Nothobranchius furzeri: one gene and its partner. The protein of the gene in region 1 interacts with the protein of each later gene in a pairwise test. Links are inferred from orthologs where the notes say so. Each region holds a gene or a part of one and is shown on either strand. Other genes may lie near its edges.

The links. The genes of interacting proteins can lie anywhere in the genome.
Region 2: the proteins of usp19 (region 1) and siah2l interact in a two-hybrid assay, tested with the Homo sapiens proteins (2 studies listed by BioGRID). The link is inferred for Nothobranchius furzeri from reciprocal best matches to the Homo sapiens genes USP19 and SIAH2.

What each region holds. Positions count from the first base shown.
Region 1 is NC_091755.1:48,418,372-48,422,023, forward strand, and holds part of usp19 (ubiquitin carboxyl-terminal hydrolase 19), read left to right. Parts: coding exon 1-463; intron 464-2,120; coding exon 2,121-2,472; intron 2,473-2,595; coding exon 2,596-2,746; intron 2,747-2,823; coding exon 2,824-2,895; intron 2,896-3,149; coding exon 3,150-3,265; intron 3,266-3,652. UniProt on the Homo sapiens protein: Deubiquitinating enzyme that regulates the degradation of various proteins by removing ubiquitin moieties, thereby preventing their proteasomal degradation. Stabilizes RNF123, which promotes CDKN1B degradation and contributes to cell proliferation.
Region 2 is NC_091750.1:26,755,755-26,759,406, reverse strand, and holds part of siah2l (E3 ubiquitin-protein ligase Siah2), read right to left. Parts: intron 2,502-3,652; coding exon 2,322-2,501; intron 1-2,321. UniProt on the Homo sapiens protein: E3 ubiquitin-protein ligase that mediates ubiquitination and subsequent proteasomal degradation of target proteins.

The DNA.
Region 1 (3,652 bases):
CTTGGATTCATCAGAGAAACCTAAATGGTCATCAGGGCAGCCACAACCCCAGCCCCCCTCATCGCCGGCTCTCGGTGAATCCAGACGGATCAACGGGAAATCAGAGCGAGGCACGAAGCGCAGCTCGAAGAACAAAGCCTCTGACAAGGCCGCGACAGACTCTGTGTGTGTGAGAAGTGGAGCTGGAGACGGCTCAAACATTAGCGTCAAGTCTAAGACCGTCACAAACGTTACCCAGCAACTGCAGGAGTCTGGTGCCAAGCGAACTAGCGTACCGCTGTCCAAGGTGAGAGAGGGTGAAGAAATGGACCCAGCGTCTGTCAGGTCTACAAACGTGGAAGCCCCTCCTTCACACCTAACCACCGTCCAGAGCTTGCGTACACACAGTCATGGAGACAACAGAGTGGAGGCGCGGGGCAGTAGGGAGGACCTGGACCTGGACGAGACAGCCAGCAGGACTCGGGTAAGATCCAGTCTCTTATCCTGTGTTGCATCATTGCTTTGAGTTTCGTCTAAACTTACCAGTTGATAATTAGAATACTGAGAGAAAATGGTGCTGAATGGTCGACCAGATCTCCGTGACCATCTCCCGCTAGCTGCCGCCGGCTGCTCGTCACCGCAGTTGGCGGAAGCTATGGGAGCGGGGACCGTGTGATCTGGCTGAGGAGGAGCTTGTTCCTAAAACTGAAGACAGTAGCGTCGAGTCAAAGTAACACAAGCAGACTTTATACAGAACCCGGCAACTGAAATGTGACCCTTTTCAAGTGAAGCACGCTCTTTGTGATATTCATATTTAAATATAAACGATTCAGATATTTAGTTTGTGTCACATTCACTGTGTCGCAGTCCTTGGGCAAGGCACCTAATCCTCGCTGCCTGCTGGTGGTGGTCGGAGGGCCCGGGCGGTGGCATCCGTGTACCGCAACCTCGCTTTTGTCAGTGTGTCCCGGGTCATCTGTGGCTGATCAGCAGCAGTGTGTGTGTGTGTGTGAACGACTGGTGTGTTGTAAAGTGCCTTGGGGGGGTCATAGGACTCTAGAAAGTGCTATATAAATACAGACCATTCACCAAATACTTTGTGTTTGCAGGAAATTCTAGTTGTCTAGGGCCACGTTCACACTGCAGGTCATAATGCTCATATCTGATTTTTTTAAATAAATCCAATTTTTTGCGTGGTTGTTCACATTATAACTGAAATGCGACAGCAAACACCCCAGTATGGACAGTTCACAACCCCGAAGCGGCTCGCGAGGGCAGCAGCAGAGCGCTCAGTGGAGTCAGAATCAGGAGGCGTGGAGTTGTGATGTGAAAGACGAAAGAAAGTCTCGTTTAGGGCTGGAAACCATTTTTAAACTATAAACTGGGTTGGTGTTCCAGGGTTTCCCCCAGAAAAGGAGTTAAGCCTGGCAGAGGAGGGGGGCGGGGCATGACGCTTAGCCTGGCGGGTGGCCGAGCAAAGCCTGGCGCTGGGTGAAACCCTGTGTTCCTGTTTTTAGTTGATTCATAGAGGGCTGCTCTCACGTAGGCCAGAGAGGCGCATCGCACCAGCACCAAATCACGACAAGAGTCGTCTCGAGGCTCTTCACAAAGTAAACATTTCAGCTCATTAAGCCAGTGAGTTAAAAGTGTCCTGTATAAGTAACCCAGCAGGTTGCTTCAAGTCACCGACTAGTGTCAGAGTCTTTACAGCAATTTTCATACTAAGCAAGCATGTAGCGACGATGGAGAGGAAAACTCCCTTTTAACAGGAAGAAACCTCCAGAGCACCTCCTGCTCTCATACTTAACAGGATGTCCAGTCATGTAACGTCAACACATGGCGCTCACCTCTGCTGACTCGGTGACGTAGGAGGCAGATTTAATACTTAAGAATCGGATGTGATACACCTTTGCCTGCAGTGTGAACGTAGCCTTATTATACTTTTATTCCTGACTGTTGTGCAATCTTAAAGTGTTTAGTAATTAGACTTTTTCCTTTAAGCAGCAATCAAAGATAATTGCATTGAATGGGTTCAGTGGAATCGTGCTGCCAGAAACGCTGGCTGTGGAGCGGTTATGCTGCCCCAGCACCCAGCTCTAATAGAGGGTAATTATGTGTAACAGTTCCTTTTTCTGTACCAGGTGTCAGATAAAACAAACCAATCATCAGAAACGTCTGAAGCAACAGAACAAGTCCGCGATGGCCAGCCCGTTCCTCCCGTCATCGATCACTCCCTCAGACCCACCGACTCGAGCCATAAAGTGGACGCTACTTCCCTCCAAATGCAGGGGGACCGGACAGACTCATCACCACACAGAAAAGCTGCTGAACATGAATCAGGACAGGAGGCTTTAATCTCACAGCAACATGAAGACTCAACAGAGATGCTTTCAGCTCCAGCTGCCTGTGTGGCTGCCAGGCAAAGCTGGGATGGGGAGGAGAAGCAGGACCAGTCTAAAGAAGAAGCCCCTCTGGAGATGATGCAACAACAAGGTTAGTGAGGGTGTTTTAGTGGACGCCGTTTGTTTGTATTTTTGTTTAATCATGCACGGGATGATGGGAAATCACCGGGTAACATTTCTGCACCGTAGTAAATCAAATCTGACTTTTCTGCAGAGCCCATGGTGAACCTGCAGGCTGTAAAGAACGACTCGTATGAGAAGGGCACAGACCTGATGGTGGTGAACGTTTACCTTAAGGGGGTCTGCAGAGACACCGCCAGGGTCATCTTCAGAGAGCAAGACTTTACGCTCATCTTTCAGACCAGGTAGCAAACACAAGCACCGCTCAAGGGCTTTATTACCATCAAACTATCAGTAGCTGATCTGATTTATCTTTTAACAGCGACAGAAACTTTCTCCGGCTTCATCCTGACTGTGGGCCAAACACGGTCTTCAAGTGGCAAGTCAAACTCAGGTAACATGTTTATGTTTATTTATTTAGCAGACGCTTTTATCCATAGTGACTTATTTACACATGTGCAGATGGATAGAAACGCTAGCAGTAGTTTGCTTGTTGTGTATTAAAACAGCTGATTACATCAAAGTATTCAGGGCAGGTCCTCCAGTGAAAGGCAGCGCTGCTCTCAGATCAGTTTCAGCAGCTGGCTCATGCTGCTATGTCTGCTCCTCTAATTTGGCCTGAATGTATTTTGGTCTGTTGTGTGTCAGGAACCTGATCCAGCCCGAGCACTGCAGCTACTCCTTCACCCCGTCCCGCCTCGACATCACCCTGAAAAAGAGACACAGCCAGCGCTGGGGGGCTCTAGAGGCCCCGGCCACACAAGGTCTGCTGCCAGGTTTCTATTTGGAGGACTTTATTCTTTTTTTCTATCCCCCACACACTAAAGGTTTTCTGTTCACATGGAACGTGGAATAAGGGGCTCAGAGCTGGTGTTAGGTCTCTACACCTGCAGCATGTTTGATTTTGTACAGAACTGATTAAAGTTTATTTATGAGGACACGGTTATCAAGGTTTCATATGCTAGTCAGAGGTTTTGTGTTTGGGGACTGAAGTACACCCAAGGAACAAGATATGGGCGTGTTGTTAAAGACCAAGTTCACCGACAAACCGTTTTTTATCATTTTTGAAACATGATCGGTCACTCTGAGTTTAACATGCAGACTAAAAGTGAAAATGGTCTTCTACCCAGAGATGGGAACCTTTGACATTT
Region 2 (3,652 bases), on another chromosome or scaffold:
ACATAAATGTGTTGGAGCTTATGACAGTGAGGAATATGATCAGTCACTTCGCTGCCCTTCTCGAGGGCTGTCATGTCGAAGTTCACACAGACAACCAGGTGGCGGCAGCCTACATAAATCGCCACGGGTGGAGTTCGATCCCTCCCACTATTGCGTGTAGCCACAGATTTACTGTGTTGGTCACATGTCCACCTGCTGTCCATCAAAGCCACCTACATTCTGGGGGTCCTGAATGTAGCTGCAGACATCCTGTCGAGAGGGGGACCCCACGACTCCGACTGGCGTCTGCATCCCGCACTGATATCACAGATCTGGATCAGGTTTGGGGAACCATTGGTGGGTCTGTTCGCGGCTCGCGAAAATGCTCAGTGTCACCTGTGGTTTTCCCTGAGTCCCCGGAACCACCACCCGCTCGGAGCGGACGCCTTCTCACACCAGCCCTGGCCTCAAACACTCCTATATGCGTTTCCGCCAGTCCCACTGATTCCCCGTCTCCTGGACCGAGTTCGGTCGGAGCAGCTCTCTGTAATTCTGATGGCTCCCAGACGCTTGTCCGCGTCATGTTTTCCAGACCTGCAAGTGCTAGTGTCCGGCTCCCTGTGGAGGCTCCCGTGGAGGGCGGACTCCCTTCTCCAGGCGGATGGGATAATCAAACATCCTCCAGAAATAGGCCAACGGCTGTAGGTCTGGCCGCTGAGCGGTCACGCTTAGAGGCTTCTGGGCTGCCGCATGATGTGGTGGCCACGATTCAGAGTGCGCGGGCGCCCCCTACCGTCGCATCTTATGCTGCTAAATGGGCAGCTTTCCAGAACTGGTGCACGGAGCGAAATGTTCAAGCGCTCTCCTGCCAGCTGGCGGATGTCCTATTGTTTCTGCAGATACTGATGGACAGGGGCCTCACATTCAGCACTATTAAAACATATGCTGCATCTATCTCATCCTGTCACCAGGGTTTTGGAGATAGATCTGTTTTCAATCATCCCCTCACAAAGCATTTTCTAAAAGGTGTCAGAAGGAACAGACCTGTGTCCCGCCCACTATTTCCCCAGTGGGACCTAACGGTGGTTCTGCGTGGCTTATCTGAAGCCCCATTTGAACCCTTGGACCAGGTCTCACTCAAGTTCCTGTCACTCAAAACTGCCTTGCTGCTGGCGCTGGCATCAGTCAAGAGAGTGAGCGACCTAACCGCCCTCAGTGGCTCCCGCATGCCTCAGGATCCGGGAAGATGGCGGGTCTGCGGTTTTATGCCCCAACCCAGCCTTTGTGCCCAAAAACATTAATGCTTCCTTCAAATCCAGGTCAATTTCATTGGCTGGACTTTTTCCTCCTCCCCATAATTTTGATGAGGATGCGGCTTCCCACCTTCTCTGCCCGGTGCGCGCGCTCGCACGACATGTGTCACGCACTTCAGGGATTTGCTGCTCACAAAGCCTGTTTGTGCACTACAGAGATTCTTCCCTTGGGCAAGCGCTGTCGACCCAGCGTCTTTCACACTGGCTTTGTGACGCCATTTCACTCGCTTACACATCATCAGGGCGGGATCCTCCTGAGATTTCCTCTTCTATGGCGCTCCACAGTGGTGTGTCGATGGAAGACATTTGTCAGGCTGCTTCATGGGGTTCTCCCTGTTCCTTTACTCGTTATTACTCACGAGATGTGTCTTCAGGCTCCATCACTTGTTCAGTGCTTGGACCTCAGCAGGCTGAGTGAAGGCATTATGGCACCACATCAGCCCTACTTGAATGAATTTCATCCTCTTGTGGATGATAATTTTAGTGGGGCCCCACTCTTCTCTCTGGTTGCCTCAGGCTTTTAAGCCCTGGGCTGCGGCTGAGCGTCCCTCACTAAAAGGAGACATGTTGCGTGTGTCCATTGGTTGAGCTAACCAGTGTGGCGTAAACCAATCTAGCTGCGCATTATTCCAATAGCAGCTAGCTTAAGGGCTAAGACTAGACGAAATAGAGCGTTGGTTACGTATTGTAACCCCAGATTCTATGAGTCTAGTTGCAGCCCTTAAGCCACTGTACCCACTGGTTCTGTTAGGACTAAGAGCCATTGGAGGCGAACAGTGGAGTTGCTCCACTTATATACCCACAAGGGGTGCCCACCATTGGTGGGCGTACATTTAAGCTCTTCATGATTGGCTGATGCTGAGATCATCCTTCCAATAGCAGCTAGCTTAAGGGCTGCAACTAGACTAATAGAATCTGGGGTTACAATACGTAACCAAAGTTCAGGATTCTGAAATCCTGGTCAGAGGATTCACACACAGAATCATGAAGTCAGGGTCAGAGGTCCTGTCGGGGGCTGAGGGTTCTGACCTGTAGTGTGGTGATGGACTTGTGGGCGTGCATCAGGTGAGGCATGACGGCCTCCAGTGAGCCGTGCCACTTGCACGTTGCTCCGGGACACGGACAGGTGTAGGGTCTGAACTCACAAACCTCCTCATGGTCAGGTTTCTCGCTGTGGTGGAGCGACAGCTGGCAGCCGGCTGATGAATACTGCAGCAGGATGGAAAAGACGGAGCAGCTTCAGCAACACTCCAAGATAAAAACGTTCAGACTTCCTCCTGAGCTTCTATTTAACCTGAGATGTTCCGACTGCTGCTATAAAAATGAACTAACGTTAATTATTAGTTAGCCATGAACAGGGCTAGTTATTAAAACTCATAAACAGGAATAGTTTTTAGTTACTAAAAAACTAGACTATTATTAATTTCTCATTAATAAGACAAGTTATTAGTTAGCCATGAACATGAATAGTTTTTTGTGACTAATAAAGATGACTAATTATTAGTTACTCATAACTAGGGTTGTCACGGTAACCGGTGTAGCGGTAAACCCCGGTAAAAAAGTTGACAATAATAATAACCGTCTTGTTTAAATATATATATTATTCCCATTTTCTTGTAGTTTCTCAAGAAAAACTATTTTTTTGGACATTTTACTTTTCTGTTTCTGGTGCTGTGAAGCTTGGAGGATTTTTACTGCTATTTTTTCACTTTTTGAGCATTTGTTATTATGTGTAACCATGGCAACAAGCTGGTTTACAATCGGGAGCAGCGGATTATCATTGGAAAGGCTGAAATAATACCTCAACTGAAGCCACAAATCCCAAATGAGCTAAAACGCAAGAAGCGTGGGTGAAGAGCGGGAGCAAAACGGAGATAAAGAGGAAATTCAAACCATCTCTTCCATCGATCGTAATGGAAAATGTGAGATCACTGGCCAACAAGATGGATGAACTCCAAGCCCTTTCAAGGACTCAGCCAGAGTATCGGCAGTGCAGTGTTATGTGTTTCACTGAGACATGACTGCAGGACCATATACCCGATTCCAGCGTCTCTCTGCCAGGATTCCTGATGGTACGAGCAGACGGAGATCTGTAGAGGAGCAGGAAAAGAAAACGAGGTGGAGTGGCAGTGCTTTTCAACAACAGATGGTGCCATCCAGGTCATGTTTCAGTGAAATGTCGTCTCTGCAGCCCAGATGTTGAACACTAGGCAGTAAGTTGTCGCCCATATTATTTGCCAAGAGAGTTCACCAGTGTTGTCTTGGCAAACGTTTATATTCCACCTTCAGCCATTGCTGAAAGTGCATGTGATGCCATCAGTTCTGTTGTCGCTAAGCTACAAGCTACAGTACATCATGCC